Linked DNA regions of Callithrix jacchus. The protein of the gene in region 2 interacts with the protein of the main gene of each other region in a pairwise test. Links are inferred from orthologs where the notes say so. Each region holds a gene or a part of one and is shown on either strand. Other genes may lie near its edges.

Evidence for each region.
Region 1: the proteins of USHBP1 (region 2) and EXOC7 interact in binary tests that used the Homo sapiens proteins (3 or more experiments, as listed by UniProt). The two-hybrid records come from large-scale screens. The link is inferred for Callithrix jacchus from reciprocal best matches to the Homo sapiens genes USHBP1 and EXOC7.
Region 3: the proteins of USHBP1 (region 2) and CCDC116 interact in binary tests that used the Homo sapiens proteins (3 or more experiments, as listed by UniProt). The two-hybrid records come from large-scale screens. The link is inferred for Callithrix jacchus from reciprocal best matches to the Homo sapiens genes USHBP1 and CCDC116.
Region 4: the proteins of USHBP1 (region 2) and DTNB interact in binary tests that used the Homo sapiens proteins (3 or more experiments, as listed by UniProt). The two-hybrid records come from large-scale screens. The link is inferred for Callithrix jacchus from reciprocal best matches to the Homo sapiens genes USHBP1 and DTNB.
Region 5: the proteins of USHBP1 (region 2) and PARVG interact in binary tests that used the Homo sapiens proteins (3 or more experiments, as listed by UniProt). The two-hybrid records come from large-scale screens. The link is inferred for Callithrix jacchus from reciprocal best matches to the Homo sapiens genes USHBP1 and PARVG.
Region 6: the proteins of USHBP1 (region 2) and DYDC1 interact in binary tests that used the Homo sapiens proteins (3 or more experiments, as listed by UniProt). The two-hybrid records come from large-scale screens. The link is inferred for Callithrix jacchus from reciprocal best matches to the Homo sapiens genes USHBP1 and DYDC1.
Region 7: the proteins of USHBP1 (region 2) and FBF1 interact in binary tests that used the Homo sapiens proteins (3 or more experiments, as listed by UniProt). The two-hybrid records come from large-scale screens. The link is inferred for Callithrix jacchus from reciprocal best matches to the Homo sapiens genes USHBP1 and FBF1.

Annotation. Positions count from the first base shown.
Region 1 is NC_133506.1:131,998,421-132,001,920, forward strand, and holds part of EXOC7 (exocyst complex component 7), read right to left. Parts: intron 2,765-3,500; coding exon 2,597-2,764; intron 1-2,596. UniProt on the Homo sapiens protein: Component of the exocyst complex involved in the docking of exocytic vesicles with fusion sites on the plasma membrane.
Region 2 is NC_133523.1:15,857,803-15,861,302, forward strand, and holds part of USHBP1 (harmonin-binding protein USHBP1), read right to left. Parts: intron 3,403-3,500; coding exon 3,262-3,402; intron 2,365-3,261; coding exon 2,191-2,364; intron 1-2,190.
Region 3 is NC_133502.1:193,600,867-193,603,860, forward strand, and holds the end of CCDC116 (coiled-coil domain-containing protein 116), read left to right. Parts: coding exon 1-519; intron 520-1,628; coding exon 1,629-2,330; 3' UTR 2,331-2,494; downstream 2,495-2,994.
Region 4 is NC_133515.1:89,527,609-89,531,557, forward strand, and holds the start of DTNB (dystrobrevin beta), read left to right. Parts: upstream 1-1,149; 5' UTR 1,150-1,196; intron 1,197-3,949.
Region 5 is NC_133502.1:187,594,974-187,598,473, reverse strand, and holds part of PARVG (gamma-parvin), read left to right. Parts: intron 1-2; coding exon 3-61; intron 62-194; coding exon 195-263; intron 264-2,439; coding exon 2,440-2,541; intron 2,542-3,500. UniProt on the Homo sapiens protein: Plays a role with ILK in promoting the cell adhesion and spreading of leukocytes.
Region 6 is NC_133513.1:50,199,197-50,202,696, reverse strand, and holds part of DYDC1 (DPY30 domain-containing protein 1), read right to left. Parts: intron 3,064-3,500; exon of another isoform or gene 2,979-3,063; intron 2,661-2,978; 5' UTR 2,638-2,660; coding exon 2,491-2,637; intron 1,741-2,490; coding exon 1,639-1,740; intron 1-1,638. UniProt on the Homo sapiens protein: Functions as part of axonemal radial spoke complexes that play an important part in the motility of sperm and cilia. Plays a crucial role during acrosome biogenesis.
Region 7 is NC_133506.1:131,811,507-131,815,006, forward strand, and holds part of FBF1 (fas-binding factor 1), read right to left. Parts: intron 3,417-3,500; coding exon 3,261-3,416; intron 3,087-3,260; coding exon 2,986-3,086; intron 2,853-2,985; coding exon 2,646-2,852; intron 1,256-2,645; coding exon 1,148-1,255; intron 1,058-1,147; coding exon 918-1,057; intron 841-917; coding exon 722-840; intron 1-721. UniProt on the Homo sapiens protein: Keratin-binding protein required for epithelial cell polarization. Involved in apical junction complex (AJC) assembly via its interaction with PARD3. Required for ciliogenesis.

The DNA.
Region 1 (3,500 bases), on a different chromosome or scaffold from region 2:
CCTAGCCCACACACCAGAGTTCCCCAAACCACCAAAGACACAGGAAAAAATCCGAAAGCCAAGAAGGGTTAACAGAAGCCACCACACAGAGAGCCTGGAGGGTGCACTTGGAAGGAGAAGGTACATGCTCTTGGCATGGGGGAAAAAAACAAAAGTTAATATCACACGTGAAAACAATCAGAACAAAAACGGCAGTGCCCACAGCTGCCTGGGTCAGCCTCCTCTGTGGGAATGAGACATCTCAGGGCCAAAGACGTGGAGAAATCAACTCCCGTCTCAAACAGACCAGTGCAGCTGCCTTGTTAACAAAATGTATGGGAGAAGAAAGGCACCCAAGACGCCCCCGCCCCCCCATTGCCTATCTGAGCACAGTGAGGATGCTGCGTCCTGGCAGCTCCTCAGAAAGCTGAGGGAGGAAGGGGCAGTGTGTGGAGGCTCATTGCTTGCACCTGCACCGCACCGCGCCACACCACATCACACCACAATTAACTCTTTTTTTTCTTTTTCTGAGACAGAGTCTCGTCCTGTCACCCAGGCTGGAGTGCAGTGGCTCGATCTCAGCTCACTGCAACCTCTGCCTCCCGGGTTCAAACTATTCTCCTGCCTCAGCCTCCTGAGTAGCTGGAATTACAGGCATGTGCCACCATGCCCGGCTCATTTTTTTTTTCTATTTTTAATAGAGATGGAGTTTCACCATGTTGGCCAGGCTGGTCTCGAACTCCTGACCTCAGGTGATCCGCCTGCCTCAGCCTCCCAAAGTATTGGGATTACAGGCATGAGCCACCATACCCGGCTCACAATTAGCTCCTAATAACCAAGTCCCATGGCCTGGCTCACATCTGCCTTGCTCATTCTCTCCCCTTCAGCAAGCACGGCTCACTAAAGAGTGAATCTGAATCCTGTCCCACAACCCACCAGGAGCAGAGGCAGATGCACACCGGGGAGGATGTGGGTCAGTATGTGGATCTGGTAGGCACCAAACCCATCAGGCACCCAATTACCTCCAGGGATGCCGAGGTTGGTGCTTTACCTGGGAGGCACCCCTGCCCCTTTCCTTAGAAGTCCCTGGGGCTTGATTCCCTAGAGCCTGACATTAGTCCTGAGCCCACCAGTTCCTGACAACTCTTGAAACCCCACAGACCCCCACAGCCGGAGAGGTTTCCTCTTGTGTCTCTGGGGCAAGGATCGATGTCATCCACTGTGAGCTCCCTGAGATCAGATCCCTGCTGCATGGCCAGCGGGCACTCTTAGGGCAGTGCATATAGGGCTCTGGGGCCTCCCAGGGGCCAGTCACAGAACCAGGCAGAAGAGGAAGCCAGTGCAGACTAGCTGGGGCCCAAGCACCCTCGCAGCCTTATGGAGACAGCTGCCCCACGCCACACAGAAGACACAGAAATGCCCTGGCCGCCATTCGGCCAGCTGAGCCCAAAGGCTGGACTGGCAGTCCCTGTTGGCAGCAGGTTTTGTCTAGGTGGGCAGGATATCCACACTGGAGGGAGAAGGCCCCAGGCCCCAGCTCCCTAATGCTCTACTCACTTGTGCCTCTGAGAGCAGCCCCTGTTCTGCCCGTTTCTCCAAACCCTAAACAAAGGCCTGCAGGGGAGCAGGTGCTCTCTGAGGGGTGGGGCAGGTAGGAACCGGAGAAACCGAGGGTGTAAGTAAGCTCTACCCAAAGCCTGTTGTCACAAGAAGCAAGTCCCACAGCAACTAGGGCAGGTGCCTGCAGCAGCAGCTGGGCAGGGGGCCAGCCTGGGTGGGAGCAGCCCCAGCATCTCTGGCTTTCTCTCCCAGAGCAATCTCAGTCCCACCGAATAACCAAGTCCCCACTGGAACTTCCCAGCATCTCCTCAAGCTGCAGGAAGCATCTCTCAGTGGCAAGACCAGGCTTGCCAAGCTGTGGCTCACAGAGACGCTATTTACCTGGAGCACAGACTACAAGAGACATGATGCCAGTGAGAAAGAACAGAGAGATGATGAGATGTTCACCCAGGACAGCGACAGCTCTGCCCAGGCCTCTCATCGTGGTGCCCCTTTCCACAAGGCCTGACTCACACTGGAGCCCAAAGCCAGTTTAAGTTCTTCTGAGAGGATGCTCTGGGGTTTCTTTCCTTTCTGGATTGACCGGGAAAGTGAAATTCTCCCCATCCAGCTCTCAGCTAAACGTCACTTCAGGTCACCCTGCTTTTCTGGAAGGTGAAGGTTAGAGCGCCTGTCCCCTTGCTATCCCAGCATCCTTTCTGGCTGCAGCAGTGTGCCAGGCCTCCTGACAGGACGATGTGTGTGTGAGGGAGGGGGTCCAGGCAGGGGCTCTGCCCTGGAGGCCTCTGCAGCCTGTCTCAGATGGGATTAACTGAGGACCTGTAAGCCCCCCACTACAAAGAAGCTGTGTAACCCCCAGGCTCTGCCAGCTGGAAGGAAGAGCCTCACTCTTGGGGGGCCTCACTGGGTGGGAAGACACTTGCTTTCTGTCCTGTGTACCTATAGTCGGGGTTACCATGACAACAAATTCTGGAGGAATCTGATGCTGCGAATGCTAGACTGGACAAAAGCAGTGCAGGCCCCAGTCAGCCTCTGGGTGTGGCAGATGGGGGCTCACCTGGCCGCTTGACTGGCTTCTTGGTAGGTGTGTCTTTCCTCTTGTTGGGGATAGCAGGGGAGTAGGGAACCCCAGAGGAAGAACTGCTCTTATGGAAATGCTCCTTCAGGCCCTTGATGGAGCGGTCCAGCTGGCTGGAGCGTATCTGGTAGTAGACGTTCATGAAATCTAAGGAGACACAGAGCGATAGAGGTGTGGTTGCCAGGCCCTGCCCTTCCTTGCAGACCTGCCATATCTACCTGTCAACCCTTCCTAGCATCTGCTCTCCATTCTGGGTCACAAGCCACCCACATCTTGTCCCAAATCAGGCCGTCTTTCAAAGTTTTTTTTTTTGAGACAGGGTCTTTCTCTATTGCCCAGGCTGGAGTGCAGTAGCACCATCATGGCTCACTGCAGGCTCCACCTCCTGGGCTCAAGCAATCTGCCCACTTCAGCCTCCTAGAGTGCTGGGATTACAGGTATGAGACACTGCATCCAGCCAGGCAAAGTCTCAAAAGAGAAAAATACCCTTTAATAGAACTGATAATTAGTTGTAAGGTTTTTTTTTGTTTTGTTTTTGAGACAGGGTCTTACTCTATTGCCCAGACTAAGTGCAGTGGTGTGATCTCGGCACACTACAACCTCTACCTCCCAGGCTCAAGCAATTCTCCTGCCTCAGCCTCTTGAGTAGCTGGGATTGTAGGCACATGCCACTACCACCTGGCTATTTTTGTATTTTTTAGTAGAGATGGGGTTTCACCATGTTGACTAGGCTCAACTTGAACTCCTGACCTCAAATGATCCACCCACCTCAGCCTCCTAAAGTGCTGGGATTACAGGCATGAGCCACCTTGCCCAGCCCTAGTTGTAAGTTTTGAATGGTACTTTTTTTAAAAAAAGTAAAAAACATAAAGTTAACATCCAG
Region 2 (3,500 bases):
CCTACGCAACAGAGTGAGAATCCATCTTGATAAAAAATTAGCTGGTCTTCAGTGAGGATGTGTGTTAATAAAAATAAAAAAATAGCTGGACATGGTGTTACATACCTGCAGTCTCAGCTACTTGAGGGGCGGAAAGCAGGAGACTGAATGAGACCAGGAGTTTGAGGCTGCAGTGAGCTATGATGGCACCACTGTATTGCAGCCTGGGTGACAGAGCAAGACCCTGTCTCCAACAAAATGTTAAAAAGAAACAAGCAGGCCGGGCGCGGCGGCTCATGCCTATAAGCACTTTGGGAGGCCGAGGCAGGTGGATCACAAGGTTAAGAGATCGAGACCATTCTGGCCAACAAGGTGAAACCCCGTCTCTATTAAAAATACAAAAATTAGCTGGGCATGGTGGCACGTGCCTGTAATCCCAGCTACTCAGGAGGCTGAGGCAGGAGAATTGCCTGAACCCAGGAGGCGGAGGTTGCGGTGAGCCGAGACCGCACCATTGCACTCCAGCCTGGGTAACAAGAGCGAAACTCCGTCTCAAAAAAGAAACAAGCAAACAAAAAAGAACGTGGTGAGCCGGGCACGGTGGCTCACGCCTGTAATCTCAGCGCTTTGGGAGGCCGAGGCGGGTGGATCACCTGAGGTCAGGAGTTCGAGACCAGCCTGGACAACATGGCGAAACACTGTCTCTACTAAAAATCCAAAAATCAGGCAGGCGTGGTGGCAGGCGCCTGCAATCCCAGCTACTTGGGAGGTTGAGGCAGAAGAATCACTTGAACCTGAGGGGTGGAGGTTGCAGTCAGCCGAGATCGTGTCACTGCACTCCAGCCTGGGTGACAAGAACAAAACTCGGTCTCAAAAACAAGAAAAAGAAAGAAAGAAAGAAAACATGGTGGGTTCCATTACAACAACCCGCTAGACACCGCTGCTCATGCCACCTTGCTGGACACCATCACGCCAACCCAATGGGCACCAGCACCTAGATTGTCAACCCTGCGCAGCAGGACCAGGACAACCCTACTAAGCACCATCATGCCAGTTCTTTCTTTATTTTTTCAAGACAGGGTCTCACTGGGCGCGGTGGCTCACACCTGTAATCACAGCACTTTGGGAGGCTGAGGCGGGTGGATCATCTGAGGTTGGGAGTTCAAGACTGGCCTGACCAACATGGAGAAACCCTGTCTCTACTAAAAATATAAAATTAGCCGAGCATGGTGGCAGGCGCCTGTAGTCCCAGCTACTCAGGAGGCTGAGGCAGGAGAATCGCTTGAACAGGAGGCAGAGGTTGCAGTGAGCTGAGATCGCACCACTGCACTCCAGTCTGGGCAACAAGAGTGAAACTCTATCTTAAAAAAAAAAAAAAAAGAGGCCGAGCACAGTAGCTCAAGCCTGTAATCCCAGCACTTTGGGAGGCTGAGGCGGGTGGATCACAAGGTCAAGAGATCGAGACCATCCTGGCCAACATGGTGAAACCCCGTCTCTACTAAAAATACGAAAATTAGCTGGGCGTGGTGGCATGTGCCTGTAGTCCCAGCTACTCGGGAGGCTGAGGCAGGAGAATTGCTTGAACCCGGGAGGCGGAGGTTGCAGTGAGATTGTTCCACTGCACTCCAGCCTGGCGCCTGGTGACAAAGTGAGACTCTGTCTCAAAAAAATAAAAAAAAGATAGGGTGTCACCCTGTCTCCCAGGTTGGACTGCAGTGGCGCAATCTCAGCTCACTGTAGCCTCCACCTCCCAGACTCAAGCCATCCTCCCACCTCAGCCTCCCAAGTAGCTGGGATTACACGGGCACACCACCACACCCAGCTAATTTATTTGTACTTTTGGTAGAGAAGAGCTTTCTCCATGTTACAAGGGCTGGTCTTGAACTCCTGAGCTCAAGGGATCTGCCTGCCTTGGCCTCCCGAAGTGCTGGGATTACGGGCATGAGCCACTCTGCCCAGATCTAACCAGTAGGCATCATCATCCATCTTCACGCCAACTGCAATGTCTGTCAACCACCATGCCAACCTTGCCAAGTAGCAACAGGCCAACTGCAGCTGGGTGTCCTGTCAGCCAACCACAGGGAGTTCCATACGGACCTTGCTGGACTCAGCCACCCCAAGACCCCAAACGTGGTGGACTGTGGGAGCCCCATACCCCCGTCAAGATCCCACTCATCAACCAGCCTAGTTCCCAGGGTTCCCCGGGGGTACCTTGGCTGTGGATTCTGCAGTGCCCCTGCGTCCACGGTGGTCTCCTCTTGTGCCAGCAGCCTCCATGCTTCCTTTTCAGCTGCCTGCAGGTCACCCATGGGGGCTTCGGCTCCTGCTCCTGAGTCGGCCTCCCGCAGAGCAAGCAGGACCCTGTATGCCTCCTCACAATGCTCACTGTAGGACACTGGTTCTGAGTACTTTTGGACACTCAGCTCGGCTGGGTGCAGTGGCCCTCGCCTGTAGTCCCAGCACTTTGGGAGGCCAGAGCGGGAGGATCACCTGAAGTCAGGAGTTCAAGACCAGCCTGGCCAACATGGTGAAAGCCTGTCTCTACTAAAAATACAAAGATTAGCCAGGTACGGGGGTGCACACTTGTAGTTCCAGCTCCTCAGGAGGCTGAGGCACTAGAATCACTTGAACCCGGAGGCAGAGGCTGGAGCGAGCCAAGATCGCACCACTGCACTCCAGCCTGGGTGACAGAGCAAGACTCCATCTCAAAAAAAAAAAAAAAAGAACACTCAGCTCCATCTCAGCCTATAGGTGCCAGTCCCCACTTGCTCTTGAATCTCTCTCTTCTCCCCACTGCCCTCACCTCTGGAAGCATGCAGACTCCTTTAGCACCCCTGAACTAAAATTGCCTTAAATTAATTTCTGGGCTTGTCGTGGTGGCTCACACCAGTCATCCCAGCACTTTGGGAGGCCGAGGTGGGTGGATCATGAGGTCAGGAGTTCGAGACCAGCCTGGTCAACATGGTGAAACCCCATCTCTACTAAAAACACAAAAATTAGCAGGCATGATGGTGCTCGCCTGTAATCCCAGCTACTCAGGAGGCTGAGACATGAGAATCATTTGAACCCAGCAGGCAAAGGTTGGAGTGAGCTGAGATCTTGCCACTGCACTCCAGCCTGGGTGACAGAGCAAGACTCTGTCTCAGACAAAAACAAAATTAATTTCTGAAGTAGTGGAAGGTGCTTTCCAGTGAGGGTCCTGTTGCCCTCTGTGGATTGGGACCATCCTCAGAAAGCCCATTCCCTCCCCAGCTGGTGACATCACTGGCAGGGTGCACTGACCTGTACTGCAAGGCCAGATGCAATGCTGTGGCCTCAGCCTCCCGCTGACCCAGCTGCATGCTGAGGCCCTCACAACGGCCCTTGTATCCCTGGAGCACAGCTGATAGCAGACGGTTAAAGCATTTGAGCTTCTCAATGTTCCTGTCCCACAGGTGGTGAAGAGGGAAAGTCACAGGCCCTCTAAGGTAGTCAGGCCTCAATTTCCACCCTTTCCCTCCCTCCTGTTGCAGCTCCAGACT
Region 3 (2,994 bases), on a different chromosome or scaffold from region 2:
GAAGCATCAGAGCTGAGGCATGGAGAACGGGAGCGAATCTTCCACAAGCAAGAGTTCAATAAGGAGCTGAAGTCGTTACTGAGCCAGCTGGAGTCCCTCGACCTGCCTGGCTACTGTCCACTCCGTGAGCCCCACCGCACGCTGAACTTCCTGGCTGAGCACCGCCTCTTCCCCGCCCTGCAGAGCGTGGTCAGTCGGGCTACGGACAAGCTCCGTGGTGCCTGCTGCTGTGACGGCCACCCTCTGTTCCCCACCAGCTTGGAGCCCACCTCAGAGCTGCCCGGACAGGGCAATCTGCAGCCTCCAGGCTCTGAGCCGGCCAATCCCAGCAACACGGGACAGCCCCATGCTTCCCCCCATCCCACAGCCTCCAGCCCCAAGCTGCGTCACAGAAAACACAAGGACAGAGGAGGCTATCCCTCCATGTCTAGCGCCCAGGTGGCCACCAGATTCAAGCTCAAGATGACACCCATGGAGAAGCCCAGTGTCCCCAGTTCCTCACTCCACTCCAGGAAAGAGGTGCCTGACTCAGATCCCAAATTACAAAACCCACCTGTTTCCCTGAGCTCCAGCCGGAGGGCCAAGCCCTGGCAGGGCCTGCACCTCACTCTGCCTGCCCCCGGAATTGTGGTGGAGGTGGATTGCAGCCAGGGCCACCTCAGGGGCCCTGTCACACCTCCGCTTGCCTTCCCCATCCCCACTCTTCCTGCTCCTTTCCCCCCAAGCTCTCCTCAGTTGCCTCCTCATCTCCCGCCTCAGTGTCTGGAGGTGACCTCCTCGAAAGTAGGACCAGGCATGAGTTTGCAGAAGGGTTCCCTGGCCCACCACTCCTAGCAGCCACTGTCACTGGCACTGGCAGGTATTCAAGATCTCTTGCCCGGCACTGTGGAAATCTCCCGGGCAGGGACCAAGCTGATGGGAGCCCAGGAATCCTGGCCTAGCTGCTACCAGGTGTTATCACAGATGAATAAAGGCCATTTTTTATGCTGGGTATTTTTCTAATGTTTGTTTATGAATCTCAGAGACCCTCCTACTTGGAGGTGAAGGGCCCTGTCTCTTCTGGACAGCTGCCCTAGCCGGGCCAGGGCCTTGCCTCCGAGGTCTAGCTCCCTCGAATCCAGCTGCCTTGAGCAGGACTCTCCAGTCGCTGTAGTTTGCCGAGGGGAAGTTGCCCACGGAGGATGTGTACAAGACGTGGGTGGCCTCACCCTGGTGGGTCTCTAGCATAGTCCCTCAACTCTTTCCTAAGCCATCAAGGCCCCTGCAGGCTTCTCTCTGAGCACAGGCCTGGGCGGGAGCCTGCTGGAACCCGGTTGTCAAGGCTCAGATTAGGCTCACCCTGTGACAGGTCCCTGCCCTTGCCCCAGGCCCAACAGGTGTAGGAGGTGTGATAGTGAGGTGAGCAGAGTGGGCAGCTGAGTGCGACGGCATAGCAGATGTGGCAAGGCTGTACCCTTCGTGTAACAAGTTTGTTTGTCACACCAAGTATGCCCAATCATGTTTGTGATGGGTAGGGTTGGCAGGGCTCAGAGGAGGGCACGTGGTTGGGAGGGATGTCACTGGATGGCAGGAGGGATGGGGCCCCCAGGTGTGACATGTGTCCTTTTCCCTCCCCGGCTGCTATGCAGAGCCCCAGCAGCAGCAGGTTCACAAAGAAGAAGCTACTGCCCTCCATCTCGTCAAAGTCCAGCATGTCCCACTTCTCCAACTGCTCTTACGAGGAGCTCGTTGACTTCCTCACCCAGCAGGCAGCCTCCCTGATCATCCGAAAGTATGAGTTTGAAAAGGACCTCAATAAGCAGCTGGGCTTCTTCTCCTTCCCCGTCACCCAAGTGCTCAGGGACCTTTCCCTGGGCTTAAAGAAGGTGAAAGGCTCCCATAACCACCAGTCCTCGGAGATCCATCTGAGCTGCCTGCTGCGTAAGCTGGAGGAGGCCAAAAGGGCCCAGCAGGACTTCTTGCTCAGCACCTTCCACCGCAGCCCAGAGACGCCCTCTGTGCTGCAGGAGCTGGCCACCCACACCGTCCAGGACCAGACCACAGAGCCCTGCCACTCTCTTTACACCGACTTGCCAGCCAGCCAACAGCTCAGCCCATTGGAGCCCAGGCTCTCAGTGTCTGCCCACACCGGCATGGGTTCCAGTCCCCCCAGGTCCAAGGACATGGACAGTGAGGGCCATGATAAGGTCGAGCTTGAAGATGAAAATGAGGATGAGGATGAGGAGCAGGATGAGGACAGGGATGAGAGTGGAGTCCAGAGCCTCCCAGAGCCTGGAGAGGAGGCCTCGGTCAGCCACCCTGTGGACCTGGGCCACAGTGACCCATCTTGAGGTCCCCACTGGCCACTTGATTCCTTGCTCTGTCAGAGTTGCTGCTCATCACACCAGCCCCTGGGCTGAATGCCCACAAGGAGCTCTGCTGAGACTCTCAGGGGAGCCAGTGAAAGATATAGCAATATAGCCTGTGTTGCTGAGACACAGGTTTCTTGTCCTGAGATTTCAGCCTCCATTTCATTTATTTGTTTGTTTACCTATTTTTTTTTTTTTTTTTGAGACGGAGTTTCGCTGTTGTTACCCAGGCTGGAGTACAACGGTGAGATCTCCGCTCACCGCAACCTCTGCCTCCTGGGTTCAAGCAATTCTCCTGCCTCAGCCTCCTGAGTAGCTGGGACTATAGGCACGCGCCACCATGCCCAGCTAATTTTTGTATTTTTAGTAGAGATGGGGTTTCACCTTGTTGACCAGGATGGTCTCGATCTCTTGACCTTGTGATCCACCCACCTCGGCCTCCCAAAGTGCTGGGATTATAGGCATGAGCCACTGTGCCCGGCTTGTTTACCTATTTTTAAGAGGAAGTGTTGGCCAGGCTCATGCCTGTAATCCCAACACTTTGAGAGGCTGATGTGGGCAGATCACTCGAGGCCAGGAGTTGGAGACCAGCCTGGGCAATATGATGAAACCCCGTCTCTACTAAATACAAAAATTAGCCAGGTAT
Region 4 (3,949 bases), on a different chromosome or scaffold from region 2:
ACTCTTTGTACAGCCAGAAACCCTTCAAATGATTAACTTTAACAAATGGGAGAAGCTCAGTGCTCCTCGACCCTGGCTACGCATTATATCACTTGGGGTCACTTAAAAAAATTCAGCCCAGGTGCAGTGGCTCATGCCTGGTCCTAGTGCTTTGGGAGGCTGAGGCCAGAGGATCTCCTGAGCCTAAGAGTTTGAGGCTGCAATGAGCAAGACTCTGTCTCTTAAAAAAAATTAGTTCCGCCAGGCGTGATGGCTCACGCCTAGAATCTCAGCGCTTTGGGAGACTGAGGCAGGTGGATCACGAGGTCAAGAGATCGAGACCATCCTGGTCTCGATCCAGGGTTTCACATGGTAAAACCCTGTCTCTACTAAAAATACAAAAATGAGCCGGGCATGGTGGCATTAGCCTGTAGTTCCAGCTACTCAGGAGGCTGAGGCAGGAGAATTTCTTGAACCCAGGAGGCGGAGGTTGCTGGGAGCTGAGATCGCGCCATTGCACTCCAGCCTGGGTAACAGGCTGGAAAAAAAAGATTAGTTCATCTAGATGAATTTTGGGTGCAGGTATATTTTCTCAAAAGCATACCAGGTGACAGGTATGTGAGAACAGCTTGAATTACCCTTGAGCCAGTTTAGAATGTTTTGTCAACATAGAATTTGTTGACATTTTCAGGTGTTTGACAACACTACATAAATAAACAAGCCTTTGATAAACTAACAAAACCTGTAGGACACTCTTCCTCGGACACTCTAGCCTCTGGATTGCCTTCTTGGGGTAATTCTTGGGATCTTTTGGGGTGCCATCAAGCCTCCTGCCTCGTGAGCTTTGCATGGTATGGCAGAATGATAGCTAATCACCCCTGTAATCCCAGCACCTGGAAAATATGACAGAAGTCTCGCTAGCTATCCAAGCCAGTCCAAATTTCAGCTTGACACCTAAGGACAGTTTTATTGAAGAATACAACTGCTGTTCCCGAGATAAATCTTAGAAAGCTTTGTCTTGAAAGGTTTTTCATGCAATTTGTCACAGGCTCTCATAATCCACAGGATGATACAGAGAGTAAAGATCAACACCACCATTAGCGCTGCCTCTCTTCCCCGCCCTCCGAATCCCACTCAGAGGTGTTCGAGCTGGTTTTCTGTGCCAGCTTCATTCCACATTTGGCCAAGACCGAGGACTCAGGCTTCAGCCTCTGGGGGTAAGGATTTCCACATTGTTATTTGCCATGCAAAATAGCAGTTCCTATTCATTTCTTCCAAATCTGCCTCTGTCAACACAGATGGCGCGCTACCCCGTACTGCTGGGACTGTGAGATTCGGCAACATTGTCTGTGTCCTGACTGTGCGGACCTTTGGCAGCCAAGCTATCACCATCCCCTGAAGGATGGATTTTGGTTTTTGTTTGCCTCCTGTGAAGGACCTTCTTTCTGCTAATCATTTGAATTACTCTCTCCTGGACCCCTTCCAGTCCTATCACGCCATCTGTAAATGGCAGAGAACAGAACGAGACACACATTATGGTGTCAATGTATAATAATTTGATACAAAGATGCGATTATGATGTTTTGTTTTGAGTATTGCTATCTGCACGTTCTTGGTTTTTTTGGTGGGATGGGGGTGGAGGTGGGAGAAGGAAGCTAGAAGCCAGAGCAGGCTGGACAGTGGATTTTATTTACAACTTTAAGGAATGGTTTTCAGGTTCATTAAATTGTTTTCCTTCAGCTGTTATTACCTTCCTCCTGCTCACACTGACACTCGGAGGGCAGGTGTCTGCCCTCCCACGCAGCTCGCTCACATCCTTCTGTAGCCTCCTCCCTGCCACTCTCAGCTCACTCACTACCTGGCACATGACCTTGGCGATTCCACCACGCATCTCTTCCCCAGATCATTTATCACTATGGTAATTAAGACTTGGATGTTCAGACTGTGGAATGAAAATAGAACAGGTTCTAGCACAGATTTTAAAAAATATTTTTCTTCCTGCCTCCAAAAAAGTACATGTTCATTTAAGACAGTTTGAAAATACAAACAAATGCAAAGAAAATTAAAATAATTCTTAATCCTATTACCCAGAGATAACTTCTTCAAATATTTTGGTTTATATTCATCCAGTCTTATTCAAGGAACACAGTAAACACACACTTTTTCCCTTTATCTTTGATAAATATTATATTTGATATATTCAAAGAATATATGTAACATTACACTCCCCCCACAAGAATCAAAACATTATAAACAATGGCAGTAATTGTCATTTACCTAAGTGCACCCCTTAGTCTCCCACTTCCTCTCATGGGGTGGGAGTATCATTCCCTTGCCTTATTTTTTTTCCCCTTGCCTTATTAAAGTAATTTTAGAAATTGTTTGTGTTTATTTGATTTTCAGCTTTGTAAAAATGGTAACATGCTATGAGTCATATGTTTCCTGCTTTTTTCACGAAGAAAAATGTTGGTTCAATTTATCCATGCTGTGTTATGCAAATGTTCTTTTATTTTTGCTGCTGTTTAATATTTCCACTGTGGAGATATACACATTTATACATTCATTTTTCTCTTGCTGGCCATTTGGATTGTTTTCATAAGTCTCAAGAACAGGCTGGGAGTGGTGGCTCATGCCTGTAATCCCAGCACTTTGGGAGGCTAAGGCAGGCAGATTGCCTGAGCTCATGAGTTCGAGACCAGCCTGGGCAACATGGTGAAACCCTGTCTCTATGACATACAAAAATTAGTTGGGCGTGCTCATGCACGCTTGTGATCCCAGCTACCCTGGATGCTGAGGCATGAGAATTGCTTGAACCTGGGAGGCAGAGGTTGCAGTGAGCCAAGATTATGCCACTTCACTCCAGCCTGGGTGACAGAGCGAGACTCTGCCTCCAAAAAAAAAAAGTACTAAGGACAGTGCAGTGATTGCACATTCCCCTTGGTGCATGCATGAAGAGTATCTTTGGGGTTGAATAGCTGGATATAAGGTAGGTAGAATTTCAACCTGTTAAATATTGGCAAAATGGTTGTACCAATTTATACTCTCACCATTACTGTATAGGAGTTTCCAATTGATTAGCCTTTTTTCCAACATTTGGAATTGTGAAACTTTAAAACTTGCCATGCTAGTAGGTGTACAACGTTGTAGTATTAATTTGCATTTTCCTGAATGCGAATGAAATGGAGGATCTTTTTCTATGTTTATTGACCATGTGTTTTCTCTTCCATAGAATGCTTGCTCCTTTTTCTATTGTGTTGTCTCCCACATTTTTTTTACTTTGAGTCAGAGTCTTGCTCTGTTGCCCAGGCTGGAGTGCCATGATGGATCTCAGCTCACCGCAACCTCCGCCTTTGGGTTTCAAGCAATTCTCCTACCTCAGCCTCCCAAGTAGCTGGGACTACAGGCATGCACCACCACGCCCAGCTAATTCTTAGCTTTTTTTTTGTATTTTTAGTAGAAACAGGGTTTTACCATGTTGGCCAGGCTGCTGTGGAACTCCTGACCTCAGGTGATTCAACTGACTCAGCCTCCCAAATTGCTGGGATTACAGGCATGAGCCACGATGCCTGGTCTCTCAAACATATTTTAAACAAAATTTGAGCCATACTACATATACCATTTTATATCATCTAAAACGTTCTTTTACAGTGTTATTTTAGTGATTTGGGACTCTTCTATCTCATAATTTAATCAGAGCTCTGTAAGTATTTTTTTAAATTTTGGTTTTGAGAAATAACTCTGGTAAGATATTCTATTGCATACATTTAATTACACATAACTGAATGTTTTAATAAAATAAGTTCTAAGAATTGAGATTTCTGAGCCTGGGAAACATGGTGAAACCCTGTCTCTACAAAAAAATACAAAAATTAGCTGGGCATAGAGGCATGTACCTGTAGTCTCAGCTGCTCGGGAGGCTCAGGTGGGAAGATTACCTGAGCCTGGGGAGGTCCAGGTTGCAGTGAGATAT
Region 5 (3,500 bases), on a different chromosome or scaffold from region 2:
AGAGGACATCTTTGATGAATTATTTAAGCTGGCTCCGGAGAAAGTGAATGCAGTGAAAGAGGTAGGAGAGATCAAACCTCTCAGCAGCTCTCAGGCCGCCCACCCCACCCACTGCCCACCTGCGCTGTAGGAGGGAATCACGGGTCCTTGTGCCACACCTGCGGCATGCTAGGCCCTTGTTCTTCCTTGGTTAGGCCATCGTGAACTTTGTCAACCAGAAGCTGGACCGCCTGGGCCTGTCTGTGCAGAATCTGGACACCCAGGTAGGGACTCAGTGGTGGCATCTCCAGGCAGGGCAGGGCCACTGACCCTAGGAAGGAAAGGGTCTGTGCACCCCAGGAACCCGCTGTGTGGTGGTGGGGGTTGCATCGCCTCTTGGAGCCTCAGGTTCCCCCTCCTCAGTGTGACTGCTGCTGGCAGGCAGCACTGGCCACCAGGGACACAGCAGGATCCCGGGGGCGGGGGCGTGGGAACACTTCACCAAGCTGGAGTCACCTCGGCTGTCACTGCTTCTCATTGTTATAATTTTATTTCATAATTAATCTTAGCCTAGCCCATGCCCAGACTTGAAGCACATGAGTCTTCCCTGCGTGGTTGTGTTCGCCCAAACAGAATTTATTAGGTTTGTGCCATGTGCCAGGCGTAGGTGACAACGCAGCCCCACTGTCTGCAGGCTCTGCATCTCTCATGAGCACCCTGAGGAGCCCAGCCCTCCCCTGGCTGCCTTAGGCTGAATCGTCCCAGGAGCAGGAGCAGGAGCAGGAGCAGAATACTGGGGGTCAGCACTGACCGTGGGCTGTGGCTTTCCACAATGGCACTGTGCCTGCAATGCAAGGGATGGGGGCAGACGAGCAGAGTGGCTAACTGCCAGCCTGGCACCTGCAGAGTGGGCATGGAGTCTGCTGGATGCCAGTGGCCTCAATGGGACATGACGTAGGCATCTAGCCACCTGGCTTCTGCTAGGTGCTGGGGCCTGGGGCGGGGAGGGAGTCTGGTCCCAGATGGACCAACTGGCTCATGAAAAAAGTAGCCAGAGCTGCTGACCTTTCAGAGAGGCTCTGGATGGGCATCGGCTGGGGAGGAATGGGGCGATGTACTCCCACTCCCAGTAGCTAAAAGCAATAAAGCCCTTACTAGATGCCAGTCCCCCAGCAAAATGCTTCCTATATTAACTCATTGAATTCTTCCCCAAATCCCCTGAAGTGGGAACTGTATTACCTCACTTACAAAGGAGGATGTTAAGGCACAGAGGGGATAATTAACTTGTCTAAGATCACACAGTGATATGTAGTGGATCTGGGATTTGAACCCAGGCAGCTGGGGCCAGAGTTTGTGCTTATAACCACCTCACATGTGGCCACGTAAGAAGTTTATGTGTTATATGGTATGGCAGCATGGCAGGGTGGAAATACCAGGCTTTGAAGCCAGACAGACACACATTTCCCTCCTGCCTCCACCAGTGATGGTCCCTGGGCTCTGCTGACACCCCTCCACGTTTGCTGTGTGACCTTGGGTGAGTTACTGGTCTTCTCTGAACCTCAGGCTCCTCTTATAAAGTGGGTACAAGATGACAACCTCATAGAATTATAGGTGGTACATGAGCCAGTGAGCCTCATATGTTTGGTCTATTACTTGGCACGCTGCCAGCATGAAATAAATGAGAGATTTGCAGTTTTATATTTTATGTGGGTATAAACAGGATGATTTCTGAGATTTACATATTACCTATTCCATCTTTATCTCTCCCTTGGTAAAATAACGGCTTTGGATACTCATGGCATGTGCCAAGTTGGTATTTAGAGACTGTTCAATAAAGCAGGGGAAGGAAGTCCCTTGCATTCCCGTTGTATTACCGAGGAATAATGGCAGAAAAGATTTCAGGCCCAAACTAATAACATTGAAACAGTAATAGGAGGAAATTCCATTAAGGGCTTTGAATGGCGGTTTCTTCCAATATCCCATCCTGTGTTTTGTATCTTTGAAGAGACTCAATAGGATTATATTAGCATATGATATGCTGGTGGTAGGGACGACAGCTTTATCTCAGAACAGACAGAAATATTAATATGGCAACTGGCAAGATGGGCCCCGTGTGCCGCTCTCTGCCTTTCCCTGATGGAATAATTTTACGCATAACTCTGTTTTCCCATGTTTCTGTAGCTTGTGGAACAGCGTGGTGTTTAAAAACTGGTATGAGGCTATTCTATAGCAAGTTTAGGAAACACTCTTTTTACTGAGCAAACACTATGTACCAGGCAGCCTGAAATCGCATTTTACTTGCAACCCTGTGAGGCCAGGAAAGTCTTCCCCACTTCTCACCAAGGAACCAGAGGCTCAGAGAAGTTGTGTGATTTCCTTAGGACCACACAGCCTGTAAAAGACAGAGTGGACCTCCCCAGGCTTCTTCCATGTGATGGTCTCCCGTTCCTTCCTTTGTAGTTTGCAGATGGGGTCATCTTACTCTTGTTGATTGGACAACTTGAAGGCTTCTTCCTGCACTTAAAGGAATTCTACCTCACACCCAACTCTCCTGCAGAAATGGTAAGTTCTCCAAAGATTCTTGATTGTCTACCTCTGGGTGAACAGATAAACAGAAATGACATGACACGTGTGTTTATTCAGTTCCAGGTGAAGTGAAGGTGTAGGGGAAGCTTGTTTAGCTATGTCTACCTGTCCATCCATCCATCCACCCATTCACCTATGCATCCATCCATCATCTACTATCTATTCATTCCCATCTGCCCATCTACCTATTATCACTTCTGTTCACCTACCAAGCTACACCCGCCATCTATGCACCCATCCATCTACCTGCCCCCCCGTTCATCCACCTACCTGCCTGTCCATGCACCTGTTTTCCTGTGTGTTTATTCATCTACCTAGTCCATCCATCTATCCATCCATCCATCCATCCATCCATCCATCCATCCATCCATCCACCCATTCACCTATCCATCCACCAACATACCTATCCATCCACCCACTCATCCATCCATCCATCCACCTATATACCTATCCATCCATCCACCCACCCATCCATCTACCCATCCACCTATCCATTTATCTATCCATCCAGCCACCCACCCACCCACCTGTCCATCTACCTGCCTGCCTGTCTACCCACACATAGGAAGTTTGTTTATGTATATGTCTTTCTGGCCATCCATCCATTCATCCATCCACTTGCCTACCTGTCCATTCACCTGCTTCCCCATTCATGCATCCATATGGCTGTGCTCCAGTCCATCTTCCCATTCTGTTGATTTATGCACCCAATCCATCCATACACCTGCCTGCCCATCTACCCACCTGCTTATCTACCCATCTCCTACCCACACATCTGTTCCCTCATTCCCTGAAGGCCTGCTTAGTGCCAGCCCCAAGCTGCACGGGACATTAAGATGATTCAACGCAGCTCCTCATTTCAGGGACCTCTTCATCTATGCTCACTGTTCTCCCAGTGACGTGTGCTCTTGCAGGACCACAGTGAAATGTGTTGG
Region 6 (3,500 bases), on a different chromosome or scaffold from region 2:
TTTTCAACAGCCCTATCCTTCTAAGGTGCCTGCAGTTTTCTACCTCAATATCAGGAATAGGAAGTTAGAGAAGCTATTTGCCAAGTCTGTATTTTTCTTTTTACCCACATACGCAAACAATAGGCTTCTTTCCCCTTTTTAAATATGTAAATTTGAGTTAAGACTCTGGAGTTAAGTATTATCTGGTAGAACTATAGAAGTGGCTTAAATTTCACTTAGAAGCTCTCTATAAATTAAATCAGTCTATAAGCCACTCTGGAACTTTCCTCTCTCCAGCCTGTACTACACGAACCGTTCCTTCAGCAATTCCCTAACCAATATCTTCAGCTCCCTAATCACACTACCCCAATCCTGCTTCACTCAAAAGGTCTGCCTGCTTCCACTTCTTCACTCAGACATCTGGGCCTAAATGAAAAGAATCACATAATCACATAATCAAACCAAATGGCATGATTATCAGTGCTTGGTCTCCAACTGCCACCAAGTAATGCCAAATTTCTTTTTGGTTTTTTGTTTGTTTTTTGAGCTGAAGTCTTGTCTGGTTGCCAGGCTGGAGTGCAGTGGTGCAATCTCAGCTCACTGCAACCTCCACCTCCCGAGTTCAAGCAATCCTCCTGCCTCAGCTTCCCTAGTAGCTGGGACTACAGGAGAGGGCTGCCACACCCTAATTTTGGATTTTGTATTTTTAATAGAGATGGGTTTCACTATGTTGGTCAGGCTGGTCTCGAACTCCTGACCTCGTGATCCCTCTCAGCCTCCCAAAGTGCTGGGATTACAGGCATGAGCCACCATGCCTGCCCACTGCTAAATTTTATCCCTCAACTCTCATTCTCCAAAGCTGCCATTTCTAACCTTTACCACTCTGTCCACACCTCCTACCTTACAACCTCATTCTTAGCAGATGATCACGGTGCCTACTTCATAAAGAAGATAGAAACAGCTGTACATAGAAGATGCTTCCACCAACACCATTCTCTCCTCTTTCCCTCAATTATAATCAAAGAAGTGCCTTCTGCCTGCCTAATCTATGTTCCAGGCCCCATTTCCTCTCATCTCCATGACAAGCTGACCCTACGAATCATCCACTCTATTTCCTAATGTCACCCACTCACTCCACTACTGTGCTCTTAAATCAAAACAAACACAAAAACATCCCTCCTTGCTCTCAAAATCTCCTTGAAAGCATTGCCTACATGTTTCATCTCCCCTGCCTAACTCCACCCACCCCAACCACTCCATTCACACTGTTCCTGCCAAATTACAGTGGCCTGTAATGAACACTTTCCCATTCAGCAATAGATATGGTTGACCACTCAGATGTCACAAAAACACTCTTTCTCTTTGCCTTCTGTGACAGTGCATTCTCTGTATTCTCTTCTTACCTGGAGGTATGCCATCTTTTGTATCAGCAACAGCAGTGTGGAAAGGAATGTGTATGTGTGTATACATGAATACAGTCAGAAAAACTCAGGGCTGCTACTTCTCCAGCAAAGAAGACACACACATCCATAAAGATAAAGATATTAGGAAGCCATATTTAAGTAACTGGAGCTGGGAAGTTTATCAGCATTTGGGTTGTGACATGCTGAGGTTGGCATCGTAATTCCACTCCCCTCTGAACTCTCCTACTTGCCTCACCTGCTGAAATAAGAGCTCCTCTGCTTTGAGCCTCTCCATCATTTCCTGCTCCATCAGAGCTAATTCTCTTTCACACTCCAGCTCAGCCATTTCCTTTTGTCTCTAGCATTGTTTAAAAACAACAGCACGTGACTTCTTAGAGAGAAAAGCAATCTTGAAAGCACTTAATAGGGACAATTAGGGAAAGGGTTAAGCAAATTATAGCCCATCCCTTTTGAAACTAAATAATAATTTGGGAAAATATTTTATCTGAATAATGAGCACAACATTAAAGTTACACATTGTGTATTTTTTTTTTTTTTTTTGAGATGGAGTTTCGCTCTTGTTACCCAGGCTGGAGTGCAATGGTGCGATTGGCTCACTGCAACCTCCACCTCCTGGTTTCAGGCAATTCTCCTGCCTCAGCCTCCCGAGTAGCTGGGATCACAGGCACGCACCACCATGCCCAGCTAATTTTTTGTATTTTTAGTAGAGACGGGGTTTCACCATGTTGACCAGGATGGTCTCGATCTCTCGACCTTGTGATCCACCCGCCTCGGCCTCCCAAAGTGCTGGGATTACAGGCGTGAGCCACCGCGCCCAGCCACACATTGTGTATTATCACAAGTACATAAACATAAATCTATAAATCTATAGAAAAAGACTTCCCATGAAAGGAATTACCTAAAAATCTAAATAGAAGGCTTCTTTGGGTACTGTTTTCTCCTTCCTACTTTTCATGTTGTTCGAGTTTTCATATAATAAACATTATTTTTATAACAGAAAAATAAAAATATTAAACTTTTTAAGAAGCAGACAAGTTGGACCAGTTATTTTTCGCTTCTAATTTCCTAGAAGGAGATTCCTACTTACCAGTTGTTCCATGGTCACATTTTCCTTAAACTTGTAAATCCACAATGCCAAATATTCTATTGGATCCGCTGGGTGAACTTTTGCCACTTCTGCAAGACCTTGAGTTAAACACGTCCCAAAGTGCTTTTGAAGATATATTGACTCCATTTCTAACTCCTAAATAAAAACTCCTAAAAAGTAAGTGTTTTTGCATTACCGCAGTATCTTCAATAAAGTCACTATATGACTAAAGTTCGGTGAGGTGAACAAAGCATGACACCCTACCCTCAGTCATGGACCCCTCCCACTGTGGGTGCCAAAAGCAAGCTGGTCCCAGGAAACTTCTAGTAGTTTCCAAAAGGGCTCCACAGAAGTCACTACAACTAAAATGGTTTCAAAATCCTGAAGGACTCTCAAGTCCAAGAGTCAGAAAAGAGATATTATTACTATTGATTTCAGGAATACTTGATGCCAAGTAATGTGAGTCTCATTTAATCCTCGCAACATACCTGAAAAGTGGGTATCACGATCTCAATGGGAAGATGAGCAAGCCCAGGCACAAAGAGCATCAGAGCACAGTTCAGGATCACACAGCTGGCAGATGAAGGAGATAGGGTTTGTACCCACCTCTTGATTCCAAAACCCTAACCCTAAAGACTATACTAAAATGTTCCTTCTAAACCATGAGAGCCATTTTTACAAAGCATCACAATAGTCCACCTTTTGAAAAAAAAAATCCATTAATTTTCCGAGGCCAAAGAAGAAAAACTCAACCTCCAAATAATAACGTATGAAGCTCCTCACAATCTGGCCCCAATTTTCTTTTGAGGTTCAACTCCAGACATCATCTCTCCAGCACACCCTGGCCTCTCTAACTCCGTGGACATCCTGCCATTCTGATGATGACGCCTTGCACATTTCCATCTCCATGACTCTTGTACATGATGACCCCTCACTCTCTCTCCTCTCTCTCTCTGTCACTCTTTCTCTCTCAGAAAAGATCTCCTCCCCTGCCAGGTAGAGAATCATTT
Region 7 (3,500 bases), on a different chromosome or scaffold from region 2:
ATGAAACATTGATTGGCCATTATTAATACCCAATTTTTTTCAAAATAAAGCAATATTTCCATTTACTCTCCCTCTTTCTCTTCCTCTCCTTTACTTATTTTTTTTTCTTTTCTTTCCTTCTCTCAAAAAAAAAAAAAAAAGAGATGGGCTCTCACTATGTTGCTTAAGCTGGTCTCAAATTCTTGGACTTAAGTGATCCTCCTGCCTCAGCTCCCCAAGTAGCTGCGATTACAGGCACAGGCCACCATGCCTGGATGAGGTTATTATTATTTAATTAAAGTGTGTGCTTATATATGAAAGGTATTTAGGGAGTTCAAATGTCTGTTAGAGCTGAAGAGGCTAGGATAACATTTAACAGGCAAGAGCATCTGTCCGAATGTCACAGGGCTTGGGTAAGGGGACAGCTCTGAGTGCAGCTGATGGTTGCAGGGTTTAGACTGTGGAGCAAGGCCAGGGTGGCTGAGGGACTTGCGGTGGTGAGGAGCAGGCAGAGCGTAGTGGGGGCCTGGCCAGGTGGCGCCTGTGTGCTCAGGTGGGCAATGCTGAGGGCCTGGCCGGGACAGGGAGACGCAGAGGCAGGAAGTAGCAGGGAGGATGCCCACAGGAGAGTCAAGCCCCGGCGCTGACCTCTGAGGAGGTGAGGTCAGGAGAGTGTCGCCACACCTGCGGGTGCCCTGGAGGAGAGGCCCCATGGCAGGAGGGCCAGGAGGATGGGCCTCACCTGCTCCAGCAGCTGGCTCTGCTCACTCAGCCGCGCCTCCATCTTCCCGATGACCTCCTGCTGCCAGCTCCGCTCCTCCTCCATGTCCCGCTGCTGCTGGCCCAGCCGCTCCTGCAGTGCTGGGGACAACCCACAGGGTGCTGGCAACTGCTCCTCTTCCCACCAGGGGTCTGGGGGTCTGAGAGGGAGGGCGTACCCCGCAGCTGCTCGTCCCGCTGCCGGATCCCCAGCTCCCGCTCCTGGGAGTTGGTGAGATGTGAGGCCTCCATGCGGTAGGACAGCTCCTGCAGGCTGCTGGAGAACTTCTCCATCTGGTGGATGATGCTATTCAGGGACCTGAAAGGAGGCTGGGTCACCACCTCCTGAAAGCCTCGGGACCCCCCAGCCCCCACCCTTAGGCGGGCACAGTTGGGGCAGCACACATACCATGTGTGGGAGGTGGTGCTGGTGGCCGCATCGACCTCTCGGTCTTTCAGCAGCTTCAGCCGCTGCAGCTGCTCCTCGTGGTCTCTGCGCATCTCCAGGATGGATGCCCTGTGGGGAAGTGGAAGGGGAAGGCCCACAGCCAATCTGAGCAGGACCACCCAGACACAGCAGCTCCTTGTGGAAGGGCATGCTTCGAAGCAGCCCTTGCTCCCAGGCCTCTCTTCCTCTGGGCACTGCCTCAGTTTCCCCAGCTCCTCTGTCTTATCTGTCATGGTGCCTCAATGCTACATGCACTAAGATGGAGATTACTCCAGTTATTCAGCAAAGAGCACTTTACATAGAGCCATGTGTGCACTTCTTTTGAGTCTGGCCAACCTGAGCTGTCTTTCTTTCTTTTCTTTTTTCCTTTTTGTAGACATGAGATCTCGCTATATTGCCCAGGCTGGTCTTGAACTCCTAGCCTCAAGCAATCCTCCTGCCTTCGCCTCCCAAAGTAGTTTTTTTTTTTTTTTTTTTTTTTTAATTCTTTTAGAGACAGGGTTTTGTTCTGTGGTCCCAGCTGGAGTGCAGCGGCATAATCAAAGCTCACTGCAGCCTGACGTCTTGGGCCCAAGGTATCTTCCACCTCAACCTCCCAAGTCACGATCATGCCCAGCTAATTTAAAAACTGTTTTTAGATACAAGGTCTCGTTGTGTTGCCCAGGCTGGTCTCAAACTCCTGGCCTCAAGTGATCCTCCCATCTTGGCCTCCCAAAGTGCTGATTATTACAGGTGTGAGCCACTGTGCCTGGCCCTGAGCTCTGAGTCAGGCATGGTGGCAGCTCATGCCTGTAAACCCAGTACTTTGGGAGGCTGAGGTGGGCAGATCATGAGCTCAGGAGTTCAAGACCAGCCTGGCCAACATGGTGAAACCCCATCTCACCTAAAAATACAAAAATTAGCCAGGCATGGTGGTGGGCGCCTGTAGTCCCAGCTACTTTGGGGGCTGAGGCAGGAGAATTGCTTTAACCCAGGAGGCATAGTTTGCAGTGAGCCGAGATCGTGCTACTGTGCTCCAGTCTGGGTGACAGAGTGAGACCTCTGACTCCCTTAGATAACTTCTTAGCTTCCTTCTCTTCTATAAAGGCAACCCTATCAACATGGCAGGCACAACAGTGCAAGCCTTTCCCAGGCAGACCTCATCTCTAGCCTCTACTGCGTGAGCTGGTGAGTGGATTACCCTGTGCTTAGTTAGGCCCTGGGGGGCTTGCTGCTGCCATGCGGTGCGTGGACAGCCTGTGGATACCGCATCCTGCCTCTGTAAGAGCAGGTGGCACTCCACCCATGTGTGTAATGGGTCAGTCTGCCCAGCCCTCAGTCCTCACTCATTGGGCTGGGAGGGAAGGGCTCAAATCCCTGTCCAAGGGCTGCTGAGCCACAGCAGAGGGTCTCGTGAGGATGGCTGCCTTCTGGCCAGTCCTTGCAAGCCCATCCCCAACTGCCTGTCCCTGGGCCTCACCGCTGCAGCTCCCGGAGCCGCTCCATTTCCTGGTCCTTCTCCTGTGCTGCAGCTGCCAAGCGCCGCTGGTACTGGGCGGTGAGCTCAGCACGGGCCTGCTCGGCCTCCTGGCAGTGCGACAGATACCGAGCTGACAGCTCCTCGTTCTCTCTCCGGAGACGCTCCTCCCGCTGCTGGTACGATATTTCTAGCACCTTGATGTGGCTTCTGCCAACAGTACACCCAGCCATGGCATGAGGAAGGTAGAGGGCTGCCACCTAAAGGCCTCTCCAAGCACACTGGGGTGGCCTTTGAGGTCAGCGAGAGAGTCAAGGCAGAGCTGGGGCTGGTGCTGGGGTACCTGTGTGCATTCTCGATGAGCTCCAGGTCTGCCTGGTTTTGCTGCTGCAGACTCCCCAGCAGCAGCTCACGCTGGGCCCGTTCCAGCTCCAGCTTCCGCACCTGGGAGACGGCAGGAGGGCCAGCGATTAGGGAGGGGAGGTGGCTGTGCTCTACGCTGCCCTGTGCCAACAGCCCCTCCTTCCTCCTGGGGATGCTTCCCGATACTCTCAGTCTCTCGGTGACCCCTCCCGTCACAACTTTGCCCCCAATGCCAGCAACCCCGCTGCCACTCACCTGGGCCTCCAGCTCTGCCAGCCGGGCTTGGCTCTGCAGCAGCGCAGCCTGGAGCTCTGCGGTGCTGCTCTGAAGCTTCACCTGTGCTGCCAGGAGCTGCTTCTGGTATTCTGTGCCTGGCAGCAGGCTCAGGGCCAGGGACTCTGGGAGCAGGGGCTGTAGGAGAGGATGAGAGGTGTTCTTGGTTAGGGAGGGACGGACCCAGCTGGGATCAGCTACCTCCTGGATCTCTGCTCACTG